4 linked regions of the Macaca fascicularis genome follow. The protein of the gene in region 3 purifies or fractionates together with the protein of the main gene of each other region. This does not show direct contact. Links are inferred from orthologs where the notes say so. Each region holds a gene or a part of one and is shown on either strand. Other genes may lie near its edges.

Region 1 (3,839 bases), on a different chromosome or scaffold from region 3:
GAGACCATCTCTAAAAAAGCAAAACCCAGGCCGTGCATGGTGGTTCATGTCTGTAATCCCAGCACTTTGGGAGGCTGAGGTGGGCATATCACCTGAGGTAGGAAGTTCGAGACCAGCCTGGCCAACATGGTGAAACCCCGTCTCTACTTAAAAAAAAAAAAAATACAAAAATTAACCGGGTATGGTGGCAGATGCCTGTAATCCCAGCTACTCAGGAGGCTGAGGCAGGAGAATCACTTGAACCCAGGGGACGGAGGTTGCAGTGAGTTGAGATTGCACCATTGCGCTCCAGCCTGGGGGACAAGAGCGAGAGTTCGTCTCAAAAGAAAAAAAAAAGCAAAACCCCCCAAAAAACCAAGAATAATAATAATAATAATAAAGGGTTTGGACAGGTTCAGCAGTCACGCTGGGATGGAGACAGGTTTTACACTGAGGAAGAGATGATCAACTGGGCCTGGGCTGGCAGCTCCTGGTCATCCTCAGGTTCACAGTGAAACACAATCATAGACCAACATTCTTTAATCACAAAGGCACTTGAGGACCCCTACAAACCCAAAGTCTCTGCCAAGAGTGGGCCCGCAGACACCCCACCTTCTATCCACCCATTCATCCATCCCACACTCAGAGTTCATCGTGACCTGCAGAGGGCTCCACACTAGGCTTGATGAAGATGCCTTCCATGGCCTTCCATGTATTGTGCGTGTTGGCACTGGGCATGCCGTGGACCTCATGCTGCCCACGGATGGGGCTTCCATACTGCTCACCCGTGACTGACAGGAACACAGAGGTGCCCACGTGCTGGAAGCGCACAGCAGCCTCACGCTCCCAGTGCTGTCCAGAGCAGCGCACTGTCCATAGGTCCAGGTCGTCACCCTCGCCGTCTTCCCCAAAGGCACTCACCTCCTATAGGTGCAGAGGGTGAGGGGACAGTGGTCACCACAGAAGGCGGCATTCGTACCTACACTGAGCCTAGGATCCTTCCCTGCCCTTCCTGGAGACTCAGCTCCCACAGCTGCAAAAGGTGACACCATGACCCGCCCGCACAACCTCTGGCACTCCCTCCCCAGCATGGGCTCTTCAGACACGTGCACACACCATTGCATCTGTCTGTGCAGAGACTACTGGTCCCCACAGAGCTAAGGCCTCCTCCTCCACATTCTCCCAGTCCTAATCCCTCTGACCTACCTTCAGCCCCTCAGGCTAGCAGTCAAGCTGTCTATCTATCTCAAACATTTTCTTCCACCAACTCTCCAAGGGCACCCACTGTTCCATCCCAATCCCCTGAATTCCACTGACCTCCACGCATTGGTGCAATCTCTTCTGCTGGCCTGGGAAGTCCTTCTTTTCCCTTTGTGGCTTGGAGGACTCCTAATCATCCTTTCAGACCCAGCCTGAGTTCCTCCTCCCCAGTGGAGTTTCCTATTCCCCACCCTCAAGGCTGTGTGGATTCTCCTCCTGGGTCCCACTTGCCCCCAGAGGAAGAGCTATCCAGGAGGATCTCTTCGGATCTCTCTCCCATCGGTCTCCCTGCAGGGCCGGGAGCACCTGGGGGCAGGATCTTGGCGGAGTTACTCTGTTTCCCCCGAAGGGGTGCTCAATAACCATCTCTGAAGTGAAATTTCCATTTCACGAAGAAGCTGAGGCTCGGATTGGAACCCAGGATCTCTGGCCCCTCACACAGGCCAGGAATCTCTCTGGGGGCTCCGGGAGGGGCTCACCTGGTTGTTGGACAGCGGTGACGGGAAGTGGTGCGTGTGTAGGTTCTTGCCTGTAAGCACATGCGTGAGCCGCACTGCCTGCCCGCAGCGCACCGGGGACCCACGCGGGCACCCGCCTTCCGAACCGCCGCGGATCCGCCAGTAGCTATTGGCGTCGTCCGACGCCTCCACGCCGGTCACCGATTGCTGGCCGCTGCCTGAGGAGTGACACCCCACCCACCCAGGGTCTCCGTCAATCGCAGAACCCCGGACCCTCGCCCTGGGACCATAACATTTCCCAGGGGACCCCAAGGGGCTCACCCCCAGTCCCGGCCCCCGCCTGACACCCCCCTCAGTCTTTGGGCCTGCAGTTCCCCGACGACCGTCCCCACCCTCAATATCCTCGACACACTCAAAGCCTTGCGCCCCTCGACCCCCCAACGACTCTAGAGCCTCCGCCGCCCGGCTTCGAGATGGCCCACAGACCCCCACGACCACCCTGTCTCCACACTCCCAACCCCAAGCCCCCGATCCCCGCGCTCTCCCAGTCGCAGGTCACACGCACCGGATCCGTATTTGATGTCGTGCGAGTGCAGCCGCACCCGGTGGTGCGTATTGAGCAGCTTCAGCACCGACCCGCAGGTCACGAGCCCCGCGCCAGTCTTGGCGGCACTACCGCCCGGCACTAAGAGCGCCAGCAGCAGCCCCAACAGCACCGGCCCGGCAGACCCGCCGCGGCCCGCGCTCCACATCGCCCCGGCCCGGCTCCAGCCGCTCCGGCCCTAGGGCTGCTTCCGTCCTCGCCGCGGCCCAATCCAGTTCTGACAGCGCCCGCTCGCGGCAGCCAATGGTCGGCCCGCGCGGCACTCCGCTTGCACTGCCATTGGGTCATTGAGGAGAGGGCCCGCCCCCGGCTCGCTAGAGCAGTAGCTGGGCGGGGACTGGAGACACGAGGAGGGTTTTGATTGGTACACGCTTCCGAGGACTTTCCAATGAGTGTCCAGGGAAGGGCGGCTGAGTAGCCAAGCGGCGGAGAATGAGCGGGAGCGCTTGGTGAGGACGCCGAGTCCGAGCCCCGCAGCCGCTGAGTGCCTGGATACCAGCTCAGGATCCTAGGACCCTGCAGGCACGTGTTCACGACGCCCCTTGATCCTGGACTCCTGGGCACTCAGTAATTAGTCTCTCCCCTCAGAACCTGGGACCACAACTGCAGGGTCTTGAGGCTGTTGGATCACTAGATTTTGTGGTCACAAAGTCGACAGATCCCAGAATCACTGAATCGTCTGGTCCTTCAGTCCCTGGACCCCGAGATTAATGAAACCCCCAGTCATTCGGCCCTAGCCGCCTCTCTGACACTGGGTCACCACAGTCCCTAGACCCTGGGGTTTCTGAATTCCCCTGGCCACTTATACATTTGACTCCTTTCGTGGCTAAATCTTGTGGTCACTGGGTCATCGGGCAGGAGAGGGCAGCAGGGAGCTGTGGCGTCGAGAATAATGGCAGCTTCCCACCAGAAAGCCCCAGAGCTGTCTTAGGAAACCAGAGTCCAAGGAGACCAAGGGGCTGTGGGAACCAAGCCTGGGTGACTGTGTCCCAGTCTCCTGGCCATGAGTAGGTCTCCCTTTTGCCGCCTTCTCAGAGTGTTGTCAGCTCAACCTTCAAAGGGAGGAAAACTTATACCACTGTTTATTCATTCATGGGACATTGTTGCAGCGGCTTCACTCCAGATCCTGTGGGGTCACAGAGGAAATAGCTCTGGGCTCAAGAGGCTAGGGTGTAGTTGAAGCACAGGCAAAGCAGAGACAAAAGTTCATATTTAATTAAATCGTCCAGAATTTTGCATTCAGAAAATCCAGAGTAAAGCGATTTTCATTACAGCAACATGTTATTTTGGGGGTTTCATGTTTCATATTGTTTTTATTTTGAGTTACATGTAGTATAAGTCACCTTGATCTTTTCAGCATTTAGGTGTCCAAACAGTTAAAGGTCAGTCTACCCTGGATTTGGTAGTCACTGCACTTGAGGGGTTTCCAGTCTAGGGTGGAAGAGCTGAAGTACTATCTGAGAGGCAACGGATATATACTCTTGGACATGTCAGCCATCACCTCAAAATCAACACATGCAAAGCAGAATTCCTGGTCT
Region 2 (4,013 bases), on a different chromosome or scaffold from region 3:
TTCATACACCCTTGTTACTTCTGATACAGTGAATTTCCATGGAAGTATTTCCAGAGATCTTAGGCCTGTGAAATAAGTATCAGTTCTTGCAACAACCCAGGAAAATTAACTTCTCCAGCTGGTTCAAACGAGTGCCTGAGGAGAAAGGCAGAAACTAGAAGACGAGTTTTGACTTAATAACTCATTTTGATGTTCATGATAGGCCTCTGGCACACGTTTGAGGAAATGAATCTACGGAGAATGGACGGGCTTTAGGTACTTCTACAACACCTTCGATCTTTAGAAAGGGATGAAGGATGCAACTATCTACAAAAAGTTCTATTTGTATTATTCAGCAACATGTAAAGAGCTGGAATTTGGCATCGCCCTCTAGCCTGATGATCGAGCTGCTGAAAGCTCCATAGGATTCATAACCTCAGAACAAACAACTCGATCACCTGATCCTGGTTCAGAAGCCCCAGGTCCCTTCTATCCCCAATCCTTTCGCGTGGCCCAGTTTTAAAAATCTGCGGAGAGAAGGACTGGATGCCAGGAAGCCTGTTGATTCAACATGCCACTCAATTCACGGGTTCCGGGTGTTACCGGGCTGGGAAAAGCTTTGAGACTCTGAGCAACTGCAGCGCTTTCCTCCCCCTTCCCCCCATAGAGCAGGGAAGGCCAGGCCCCCCCTTCTTCCCACATACGGCTCCCCATTGCCTCTTCCCTTACGGGACCAGGCCCTAGGAGCCCGGTTCCCCACCTGACTCCTGCGAGAAACACGCTCCCCAGTCGGAACTTTACTTGCCTGAAGTCCGCCGCTCCTCCGGTGCGCTAAGCCCCCACCGAGGAAAAATGGAGTCGTCGAACCGAGACAGGGAAAAGATACTACGGACCCACCGCACTGCCCCTCCGCCGCCGCCGCCGCCGCCGCCGCCGCTGCGTCAACGTGCTACGTCATTTCCGGCTCTCTGTCACCGGGAGTGGGTGGGCCATTGCTTGTTCTCTCTCCCGCTCTCGGGAGCTTTCGTCCCGTGGGTGCGAACGGTAACCGAAGCGGCTCAGGAAGGCAGCTGTTACTGAGCCCCTGGAACAGGGCGAGAGTATCGTAAGTAACCAGGCTCAGCCTGTTTCTCAGGCCGCTCTAGCCAGATAAACCATAAAGATCAGACTCGGGCTTCTTCACTTCCTTCTCTCCGTGGTATCGTCTTCAGCTTCCGGTTCCGGGGAGGGGCCGCGTTTTCTTCGAAGATTTGGGGCTCCGCGATACAGCTAGGATGGCTGTAGTACCTCTACTGTTATTGGGGTGTTTGTGGAGCGCTGTGGGTGCGTCCAGCCTGGCTGTCGTTACTTGCGGCTCCGTGGTAAAGCTACTCAATACGCGCCACAACGTCCGACTGCACTCACACGACGTGCGCTATGGGTCAGGTAATGCTGGGGATCGGGCTCGGGTGGGCTCGGGAGGCCTGGGAGTATCTGGAGGGGCGGGGCCTAAAGAAAATCTGAGGGTGTGGTCTGGGAAGGTTAGGTGTTCCCTGGGACGGTTCCTCAGGTCTGGATAGTCGGATAACTGAGTTGTTCTAAGGCATCTTAATCGCAACACCACCTAATATTTGGTGAACTACAGGCCAGGCACGTTACCTATGTACTTTTCCCGCTTATTAACATTCATGTAAGGTGACACTATTGCTATCCTCATTTCACAGATGAGTTAACAGACGCAGAGAAATTAAATCGTTTATTCAAAGCCTTGCAGCTAGCAAATGTCAAAGTCGGGGTTCTATCCAAATCTATCCAGGTTCAAAGCCTGCTTTAGAGACAGACAAGAAAATTACAGGAAGTGCTGTGTCTGAAATTTTAAAGTAACAGTAAGTACTGTATCTCAAACTTTAAACTCCAAGAGCTCACTCGTTGACTACAACCCTTTGTCTTCCAGCTCTTCCGCATCTTACACTTGCTCCTTAATTCCTATCTTTTGGGCCCCTTCTACCCAAATCTGAACCTCCTTCTTGTAAGGAACTTGGAGCAGTGACAGGAATTGCACAGAAACTTTTTTTTTTTTTAAGCATTTGAAATTAAAATGTTTAATAATAAATTATTTGAATTCATTCATTCAGCATAGGTCTTAATGAGTTCCTACTAAATGACTAGAATTGTACTACCTGCAGGAGATTCGGTAGTGATAATCAGTCAAGAAGATTACAATATAATAAAAACAGACCAAAAAAAGAAAGTCTTATCTGCCTGAAAAAAAAAGATAAGCAAACAAAAAAAGAATGAAGGTCAGCTAGTGAGATGTGAGAGGCATTTAAGATAGCTGGTAGAATTCTATCTTGGATGACTGATGATGCTGTTTGCTGAGGGAGGAAAGAGTTCTGTCAGGTGGGCTAGTCTGGTTCATGATTCCCAAAACCTATCTGATCAGTTAGACTAGGCAAGGACGTGAGTTATCATCACTGCGATGTCTTAATAATCCTAGCACCCATTCAGTGAACACCTAACATGTTGTCAGGCTTATTTTTTAATTTGCTTTGGTTTCCAACTTTGGATCTACTGAATTAGAGTGGAGGTGGACAGAGGCTTGGCAGTAGCAATCTGTAGGTTTAAAAAGCTCTTCAGGTGGTTCTGATGGACAGCCAGATTTGGGAACCAGGTTCAGTCTGAAGCTCAGAAAAGGGATCTCTGCTGAGCCTGAGATACCACATTAGATACAACATTAAATACAACATCTTGTACAGACTGTGGTTGAAAATGTCAGGGTAGTGGATGAAATTGCCCAGGATGAACTGTGGTTCTCAATCTGGGATCAATATGAATAACTTGAGAAACTTGTTAAAAATACAAATGCTTTTGTCCTGACCCTCAGCAATTTAAGAACTACAGGTGGAAATATATGAAGGCCAGGCATAGAACTTTGGATAATCCCAAGGTATAAGGATTTGGAGGAGGAAGTGAAGGGTTGAATAGAAAGCAGAAAATGTAGGAGACAAAATGTAGACCATGGTTTAGTAGTGAAGCGTGGCTGTGAGGACCCCAGAGAGCTGTAAGGCAGTAACCAGAAGTAGGAAGGGAGACTTGGTTTGGCTTTTCTGAAAAAGAATGATATAATAAAGTCATGAGCTGAGTGGAAGGAGACAGTAGAAAGGAGCTGATAGTTGGCTATATTTACCCGTGTAACTGGCACGAGGCATAATGGTATACGTGGTAAAAGTGAAATATCAAAAGTCTTTGGTCAGGCAAGGCCATGGAGCTGAAAGCAAAGCTAGAAGGAACAGGTAAAACTATTAGAGGAAAGTATCTGGGAAATACGAATGCTTTCAAAGACCTGGGTAGTGAATGAAGCCTAGGAAAGAGGGTATCCCTGGTGTTTATGAGAGTAGCTCGTTTGGGGAAACCTGACAATTTAAAGCTTTTGGAAGAAATATGATCTTAATGAGATATGATGCAGAATGGTTAAGAGTGTTAGTTCTAGAGTCGGGCTGTCTAGGTTCATTCAGTCCCAGCCTTGTTTCTTAGAGTTGTGTGACCTTGGGTATGCTGGGGATAATAATACCTACTTCAGCAAATGTAGATGTCAAATAAGAATATTCAAACAAAGGACTTAGGTCAGTGCTAGATACCCAGTAAGTCCTCACACACTGTGGTGCTGAGCAGTCTTAGTAACACACATTAGCTATCAGCGATTATTTGTATACCGCACCCCCCCGCCCCAGCTTTTTAAATCCTGTAGCTAGATTTTTTCTTTCCTTAAGAGACATGGGAGACCAAGGCAGGAGAATCACTTGAACCAGAGAATTGGAGGTTGCAGTGAGCCGAGATCGCACCACTGCACTCCAGCCTGGTGACAGAACAGACTCTGTCTCAAAAAAAAAAAGAAAGAAATTAAGAAACAGAGTCTTACTCTGTCGTCCAAGCTGAGGTGCAGTGACACAATCACGACTCATTGCAGCCTTGACCTCCTGGGCCCAAGCAATCCTCACATCTCAGCCTCCTGAGTAGCTGGGACTGCAAGTGCACCCCACCACACCTGATTAATT
Region 3 (4,309 bases):
GCATAATAGGTGAGAGGACAAAGCATAAATGGCTTTGTAAACTAGCATAGAGCTGGGATTTTATTCTAAGTGCAAATGAAGAGCCATTCCAGGCTTTTAAACAGGGGAGTGACATGATTTGACTTTTATTTTTTATGTATTTATTTTTTTTTGAAATGGAGTCTCACTCTGTCGCCCAGGATGGAGTGCAGTGGCAGGAACTCAGGTCATTGCAACCTCCACCTCCCAGGTTCAAGCAATTCTCCTGCCTCAGCCTCCCGAGTAGCTGGGATTACAGGCGCTCGCCACCACACCCTGCTAATTTTTGTAGTTTTAGTAGAGACGGGGTTTCACCATGTTGGCCAGGCTGGTCTCAAGCTCCTGACCTCAGGTGATCCGCCCATCTCGGCCTCCCAAAGTGCTGGGATTACAGGCGTGAGCCACCGCGCCCGGCCCTTAAAAAAAAAAAAAAAAAAGGAGTGAGGGACAGGGATGAGCAACATATATGAAGGTATTAAGGAAGATATTAAGAGTGGAGACAAGGAGGCCAGTTAGGAGGCCCTGGCCAGGTGAGAGATACACTGTGATCCAGAGACCTAGTAATGGAGATGTAGTGAACAGATTCAAGTATAGTTCAGAGGTAAAGATTTGGATAGCTTATATATGAAAGGAGTAAAAACACCTAGAGCTTTGTCCTGATCAACTAGGTGTTGTGTAACTGTGATGAGCAAAATCGGGGGGGAAGACGGGGAATCAAAGACTTATGCTCGAACAGTAATAATGGTTTTTATTCATTGCCTGCTTACTATACGCCAGACGATTTACAGATTTTTTTTCCCTGTTAAAATTCACAGAACTGCCAATAAGTGCTTTGCCTTAGTTTTGTTGATAAAGAAACTTAGGCTCAGACTTGGGAGGAGGGAAGGAGTAAGGAGTCTCACCACTGAGAAGCGGTGCAAGCCGAATCCGCACTTAAGTCGGTCAATCATCACTGTCGCCTTTCCGAGACTTATGGAGTTGCTTGGAGAACGTAAAATAAGAGTCCTAAGCAATGCGTCCGATGTACAGTTGGGGAATAACCGTCCCCGCTCATTCTGCCGCTGTTCCCTCATTCTGCTCCCGCATTCGGCGCGTAGCTGGGTATGAATGAAATTCCAAACTTGAAACACAGAGAAAACTTCTCTCCCACAATTGGTTGGTGCTGGGGAGGAGCCTCCTGATTGGTGGAAAGTTCGAGGAAGTGGGTGAGTCGGGGAGGATTTCGTGTACCTCAGGTGCCCTTACTCGGACCAGCCCCCTACCATTACGTAATTTTCTACGACTCGGGGTAGCTCGGGCAGAGCGGGTTCCTGCAGCGGCGCGACCCTCTGACGTCTCCTCTTCTAATTGGTCAAGATCTGCGACTGCAGTTCTGAAGCCTAACTGGCTACCCGTGCCGCCTCGGAGGTGAAGTGTACTGCGCTGATTGGCTTTCAGGCGCCGGCCGCGTGTGATGTCCCGGGCAACGATTGGCTCTCGCTTACCGGGGTCTTCTCTCACCGGGACTTGGGACTCCCGGGAAGTGGACTGGAAGAGGAGGGGGCTAGCTAGCTGTCTCTGCGGACCAAGGAGGGGACCCCCCCGCCCCCCAGTGTGAGGCGCCTCACAGGGCTGGGTGGGCTGGCGAGCCGACGCGGCGGCGGAGGAGGCTGTGAGGAGTGTGTGGGACAAGACCCGGGACAGAGGAACCATGGCTCCGCAGAACCTGAGCACCTTTTGCCTGTTGCTACTGTACCTCATCGGGGCCGTGATTGCCGGGTGAGGAATAGACACTCGCAGACAGCGGGGCCCGGGGGTCAGCCTTTGCTAGGGGGTGGGAGGGGGTGGGGGAAGTGGTATTGCCAGACTGAGGGAGTGGAGAGGGGCATCGCTGTGGGTTGGCGGGGTGGCGGAGGAAGGGGTAGTATGGGCCAGACTAGTGGGGTGAGAAGCGAACCGTAGGTGACACCAGTGAGAAGGCGTTAGGTCCAGAGAAGGTCTTTGGTAGAGCTAGATTTGCCCGGAGGAGTGGGAGTTGGATGCATTGCCAACGGCATTTGGGGGATGAGGGAAAGAAGGTGGTTGTGAGCTGGAGCACTGTCACGTAGAGCTGGGGGAAGAAAGAGGGATGCCTGACTGTAAGGAAAGGTAGTGACAGTGCTAGGCTGAGGTTGGGGGGATGGACGTTTGTTTGATCAAAGAGGTGGGTTGCTGTGCCCCGCTGAGCTGGAGAAGCGGACGATGCTCTATGCCAAGCCTGCGAAGAGCCATTGGGGGGCTGACATTAAAGTGGGTGGATGATGCCAGGCCGAGTTGGGACTGAAGGAAATTGGATGGGGAGGGGAACAAGAAGACCCTTTGGAGAGCCCTTGTGCTTCCCAGCTTCTTGAGCTATTTATTGTCTTAAGTTGCTTCGTCTTTAACATTCTGGCAATGCTACTGTTAGGACATTTATGTGGCATAATCTTTTTAAATAAGGAAAATCATCCCTTGAGAGTGTTATTTGACTTTTAGAAAAGTCAAAATCATTTGGAGCAAATGTAGAGAAAGGGGGGAAGAGTTAATTTGATTATATGGTTATTGCCTAAAGATAACATGAGACCATAAAATAAGGAAGTGGTTTTCTTGACTGAAGGTGGTTCTGAAAGAAGATGCCACAGATGTTTTGAATAATCTAAAAAGAAGTATGTAGCTTCTTACTGTGATTACTTCAATATATAAGATTCATTACAAATTCTGGTGTTCTCTTTTTAGTCATTCTTTGTGTGTATATGTGTCACATAAACGTTCACTTTCGTACCTCTTTGCTCAGACACAAACCTAAATGTAGAGGAAAAATAAATCTTTTACTTTTAAAAATGTAACATGTAACTCTGATGAAGTATTCTCTCCCTCTACTTCCCAGACGAGACTTCTATAAGATCTTGGGGGTGCCTCGAAGTGCCTCTATAAAGGATATTAAAAAGGCCTATAGGAAACTAGCCCTGCAGCTTCATCCCGACCGGAACCCTGATGATCCACAAGCCCAGGAGAAATTCCAGGATCTGGGTGCTGCTTATGAGGTGAGTCAGGAAAAGTGATAAAGAACAAATAAAATCTGTAGCTCTAGAAAAAATATACAATACAGAGAAATACTCTTTTCAGCTCACATATATTTATTTAGAGACTGAGTCTCACTTTATTGCCTAGGCTGGAGTGCAGTGGTGCAATCTCTGCTCACTGCAACCTCCGCCTCCCCGGTTCAAGCACTTCTCCCACCTCAGCCTCCCGAGTAGCTGGGATTACAAGTGCATGTCACCACGCCTGGTTAATTTTTGTATTTTTAGTAGAGACAGGGTTTCACCATGTTGGCCAGGCTGGTCTCGAACTCCTGACCTCAAGTGACCCGCCCGCCTCGGCCTCTCAAAGTGTTGGGATTACAGGTGTGAGCTACCACGCCCAGCCCAGGTCACTTTTATTTAAAAGTAGATGGTAGATGAAAGTAAAAGTAGTACTTGATACTGTATTGTACTAGATATTACATTCATGTTAGTAGATACCATTTTCTGCCTTTTGATATTAATATTTATTTTAAGAAGGAGAATAATGCTGCAAAAGAATAAATGAAAGATTGGTAGATTAATAAGTAGATCAACTGATTGGTCTGTCAGTCAGTCAGTTTGGGAGCTAGACCAAAAATAAAAAGAAAGCCTTCATGAGAGTTGCAAACCTACATGTTCATATGAACTAGACAAATAACATGCAGGGCAGGTATAAATTAAAACATGACAGCAGATATTCTGCCTCCATGTTGGGAAGCAATAAGGATTGTTGAGGGCTTTGACAAATTGAAGCCTTCTGGCCCCATTTCAAGGGAGCAGCTGTTACCTCAACCCTAGCCAGTTTTTGTCATAGTAATGCAAACAGTATGTTCCTAGATGATTTAATTTTTCCAGAAAAGTTGAAAATCTAGACTTTTATATAAGTTCTGCTTGTAAAAATGTTGGTAACTAATTCAGTTAAATTTCTTTTTTACGTAGATCAAACAAAGCACAGTTTTAATTTGATTTTCCAACCTCTAATCTGGGGACCAAAACACTCTCCATTTGTATCATCTCATTTAACCTTCACTAGGACACCAGGAAATACATTAGAGCTAGGCATATTTTTATTCTCATTTTCTAAATGGACACAGAAAAAAATTAGTTGAACTAAAAGTCATAGAGCTAAAACTCCCGAATTTAAGTTTAAATTCTTATATATTGAGAAGGCTAAAAACAAATTGAAAAGTATTTTAGGAAGACATAAACCTTGAAAGGAAGGAATCCCAAGA
Region 4 (4,271 bases), on a different chromosome or scaffold from region 3:
AAGCCAAAAAAAAAAAAAAAATCCCAAGGAATTTCTGAAGGAGCCTCTCTTAACTATTCCGCTGTTGTTAGAATAACTAACACTGGTATAACATTCTACAATTTATAAGAACATTTATCTGCTTCATGAAACCTCAAAACAAACCTTTGAGACTTTCAGGATCCTAACCACTTTACAGATGACGATAACTTACATAAAAGTTATGGGGTTTCCTGGATCTGAATCCTTTACTCTTCACATTATATTATTTTGCCTTCCCCAAAACTAATCAAGGACTCCGTTTTTTCTTTTTTCTTTCTCGAAACCATTTCCTCCATATTAGTTCTCTTCGGAATAGACGCCTTTTAAAAAGTCCTCGTTAGTATATCTTCAGGGAATCACAAATTCACTATGCTATTTATAATTCATGAGTTTCTCTATGGTAGCAAGGCAGCAAATACAGGTGAAGTAATAAGTATGCACTTGATATTATTTAACACACATACCCCGTGTAAAAATACTGCTGGTGTACAGTGTGTGTGTTGGTGACGCCGGAGGAAGTGGCCGTGAACAGGCTTAATGCCGCATTGAGTTACTTCAACCTCATCTTGCTCAGGTTCGTATCTCTCTTGAATTTCCCATGGTAAGCGCAAGATGCAGGATCCGTTCTCACAGTATTTTGCTTACCAGTTGACGTTGGCTGCATTCAGGAACGCCTCGCTCTCTTAAACCACAGTGCCTTCCTGGTCTCTTCTTCACAGGGTTTTCCACAATCGCTGTTTTTCCTGGGCACGCTGGTTTGCTGAAAGTCGGGGTGGCGGGGCCCAAGTTTCCAGGCCAATTACCTACCTGCCTTAGAACAATTACGCACTTGTCTCTGGTTGTCCCTGAAATGGTCTAATCATCAGATCGCCCTAATGAACGCCCAGCTTCTCCTGATCGTTTCTTGCTTACGGCTCAGTTCAGGCAGTATTTGTTCCGGGACTCTCAGCGGGAGGCGGTGTTTACCGGCTCACTTGAGACCTCAATTCCAGACGCCCCGGGACCGTGTTTGGCCTTCCCATTCGGACGCTGCGGCTGAGCTTTCCTCTCCTAACATCACGCTGGCGAACCTCGGAAGGATCAAATTGTCCCACTCGCCAACCTAGAGCGGCGGGACCGGCCCAAAAGGGCCTTTGCAGCCTGCGCATGCGGACTCGGCGACCGCCACAGACTCCCCGTCGGCTTCCCTCCGAGCGGCCGCGGCGGTTTGGAGCTTGCTGACAGCTCTGCGACCGGCAGACGCAGCCTCGTCTCGTGCTTCCACGTTATCCTATCAGAGACGGGGCGGGGCGGCGGCCTCCGCAGCCTATCAGCGCGAACCACGACCCCGGCGAGCCCGGGAGGAAAGCCGCCAGAAAGAAGGCGATTGGACGGCGGCGGCGCTCCGGGGCGTAGCGTGGCCCGGGCCCCGCCCACCGCTGCCTTCCTCTGCTGGGCTCCAGAGCCGCTGAGGCCTGAGCGAGAGCCGACCGGGGCGGGCGCAACTGCTGCCAGAGCGCCGGCGCGTGCTGGTGGGCCACACACTCTTCCTTCTCTTCACTTGCGAGCCCTCGGACATGGTGGCCCCCGGCTCCGTGACCAGCCGGCTGGGCTCGGTGTTCCCCTTCCTGCTAGTCCTGGTGGATCTGCAGTACGAAGGTGAGTCCTGCCCTGCCCCGGCCGGGAAGTGGGCTCCCGGACCAGGCCCCCCGCGCTTTCCCGTCTGCGCCCGGGCGCGTGTCCCGGGGCGGCTCGGGAGGTGGGGTGAGCGCTGGGGGAGCCCGCGGCCTGGCTTGGGCCTGAGCCCGCGCCCGGTTCCGGGTTTGCCTGGGGAAGAGTCGAGGGGACCGGAGGGCCGCGGGGCCGGGACAGCGGGTTTGGACTAAGGAAAGGGGCCGCAGGAGTCGGAGGAGGCGGAGTGCACCCCGTGGCGGGGAGCGGGGGCACGGGGCTGCGACTTCAGGACGTCCTGGGACGCGGAGACTTGGACAGTCTTTGGGTCCCGGCCTCGCTTGGGACCCTCGCTGGGCGCCTGGGGACACTGTCAGTCATTGGTGCTAGGAGGAGGCACTAAGGTGCCCAAAAGACTTCCTTCGCCCTGGCGTTCTTGGGTGGGGTAGAAGTGTCATGTCTGGCTGGGAGTTAGAGGGGACGGTGTTGACTATTTAAAAAGTGAGTAACCATCCGCATTAAGATGCACTGTCGTGTGGAGAAATTGTTAGTTTGGTGCAGGGAGGAGCCGCTGTTGGAATTCCACCTCCCGGACGGCCAGGCACTGAGTTTGTGGTTTTACAACTCCCAGCATGGTGCCATTCAACGTATAGCTGGCATTACTTTTCCAAGTTCGCTGTAAAAGGTTCCCTTAAAAAGATATGAGGGATTAAATTTCACTTCAGTCCTGCAGACTGGAATGTTGGCTACTCCAGAATAGCGAAAATAGAGGACTGTCCTATCTTAGATGGCAGCGGGGAGGAGTAAGAATTAAAGCTGATAGTGCCGATTTAACGAATGCTTCTGGCGCGGTTACTGTGCGAAATATTCGAGTGTAATGACACATCACATGCACTGATCTATTTTCATCCCCGTAAAAAGGGCTAGTTGTCAAGGAGGTCAAATTAAACCTTTTGAGTATTCCATTCAAAGGGAGCGAGGAACTAAAAGTTGGGAATTGTTTATAGTGAATTCTTCTGAAAGTTCTTAACCTTTTTTTTTTTTAAAGTAGTACTCCCCAGTTTTTAGGTCTCACCCACAGCAGTGGGTTTTGCTTTTGCTTCCCCCGGTAACCATATTTTTTGAACCCCAAATCAGAACACATAGTGTGGCAACACTGGGACAAAGAATTTGACAGTGAGGCTGCCGCCAGAAAATCTAAGGGGATTGGATTGTACCACTTTAATATGGGTCATATATTCTAGTTCTTTTGCATTTTCAAAAGCTTCATTCCTCCTGCCCCCGCACCTCCCACCCCTCATCTCTATTATTTATCTCCAGTTATCATTTATGATTTATTTTGGACACTTAAGAGAAAGTTGCCTATGTTCTGTTTAATGGTGATTTTTTTTTTTTAAGTTACAGAGGTGCACAATTTTGAATGATTGCTTTTCCCACTACTTTGTGAACCATCTTTTTAGAATTGCTGTTCTGTTTATGGGTCTGTAAGGACTCTTTAACTCTTCATTTCCCTCCTGTGGTATTTTCCATGAGAAAACCTTATTAGAGAGCTTTTCTGTGTAGGAGGCACTGGTGACATTTTTCAGAGGAGTGCCAGAGTGTCTTCTTTAGGACCATTGTCTTTGTAAAGTAGCGGGGACTTGGTACAGGTAACAGAAAAGAAAGGAAAGAAAGGAGCCTTTCTGTAAGCTATCTCTTATTTATGAAAGCGTGTGGTATTATTCCTGCTTCACAGACCAGGGAACTGAGGCTCCAAAGGTTTTACTAAAGTTCATTTTGTGTGCACGCTGGAGACAGAAGTAGTTGACAACATCATGTGAGTCCAAGCATTTTTAAGTGATGGCAGCTGAGGAAAAAACCCCAGCACTTTTTTGTAATTAACAGGAAGGTTATTTCCTGGGAGGTTTAATACAATGGTTCTCAAACTTGAGTGTGCATCAGAATCGCACATGGAGGGGTTTTAAAACAGAGTGCTGTACCCCACTTACAGAGCTTGATTCATTAGATCTTGATAGTACCTGAAATTGTGCTTTTCTATAAAGACGCCAGATGACCACACTTGAGTTACTGGTGTAATAAATTATATAGAGGAGTTAAATTAGGGGTCTGCTATGTATTTGACACTGGATTTGGTGATGGGGATATAAAGGTAAGAACTCTGTCTTGAATTAGCAAACTGTTAGCCCCTGTTTTCCCAAATAAATTCTGTCTGGATTCACTAATCTCATAGTTCTCTGGGAGGCAAATGGTGCTACTGCTAGGCCTGAGGCTTAATAAAATTGTGTTGTATTAAGGATTTTTGTTAAATAGGTAGATTTTAGCTGCTCTTGTCACACAAAAAATAATTATGTGAGATGATAGATATATTAATCTGCTTCACTCTTGTTAATCTGCTTCACTATTGTAACCATTTTATCTGTGTGTGTCTCATACTATGTTGTAAACATCGAATATACACAATACAATTCACTTTTAAAAAAAGAAATGGAGAATGGTTATGAGAGAAGTGAATGTGGAACTAAGAGTGGCACAGGATGGAGAAGAGATGACCTAGTTTTTTCTGATTTTGAAATATTTGTCTGTTTTCTTCTAGATTTTTC

Evidence for each region. The genes of interacting proteins can lie anywhere in the genome.
Region 1: the proteins of DNAJB11 (region 3) and SDF2L1 purify together in Homo sapiens (affinity purification with mass spectrometry; 3 studies listed by BioGRID and IntAct, counting the BioPlex papers as one, with this or other methods). This does not show direct contact. The link is inferred for Macaca fascicularis from reciprocal best matches to the Homo sapiens genes DNAJB11 and SDF2L1.
Region 2: the proteins of DNAJB11 (region 3) and SDF2 purify together in Homo sapiens (affinity purification with mass spectrometry; 3 studies listed by BioGRID and IntAct, counting the BioPlex papers as one, with this or other methods). This does not show direct contact. The link is inferred for Macaca fascicularis from reciprocal best matches to the Homo sapiens genes DNAJB11 and SDF2.
Region 4: the proteins of DNAJB11 (region 3) and DNAJC3 purify together in Homo sapiens (affinity purification with mass spectrometry; 3 studies listed by BioGRID and IntAct, with this or other methods). This does not show direct contact. The link is inferred for Macaca fascicularis from reciprocal best matches to the Homo sapiens genes DNAJB11 and DNAJC3.

What each region holds. Positions count from the first base shown.
Region 1 is NC_088384.1:31,489,729-31,493,567, forward strand, and holds SDF2L1 (stromal cell-derived factor 2-like protein 1), read right to left. Parts: upstream 2,482-3,839; 5' UTR 2,450-2,481; coding exon 2,263-2,449; intron 1,916-2,262; coding exon 1,719-1,915; intron 904-1,718; coding exon 622-903; 3' UTR 502-621; downstream 1-501.
Region 2 is NC_088390.1:34,133,089-34,137,101, reverse strand, and holds the start of SDF2 (stromal cell-derived factor 2), read left to right. Parts: upstream 1-1,212; 5' UTR 1,213-1,253; coding exon 1,254-1,404; intron 1,405-4,013.
Region 3 is NC_088376.1:98,516,957-98,521,265, forward strand, and holds the start of DNAJB11 (dnaJ homolog subfamily B member 11), read left to right. Parts: upstream 1-1,500; 5' UTR 1,501-1,708; coding exon 1,709-1,776; intron 1,777-2,902; coding exon 2,903-3,059; intron 3,060-4,309. UniProt on the Homo sapiens protein: As a co-chaperone for HSPA5 it is required for proper folding, trafficking or degradation of proteins.
Region 4 is NC_088391.1:86,615,559-86,619,829, forward strand, and holds the start of DNAJC3 (dnaJ homolog subfamily C member 3), read left to right. Parts: upstream 1-1,470; 5' UTR 1,471-1,577; coding exon 1,578-1,659; intron 1,660-4,271. UniProt on the Homo sapiens protein: Involved in the unfolded protein response (UPR) during endoplasmic reticulum (ER) stress.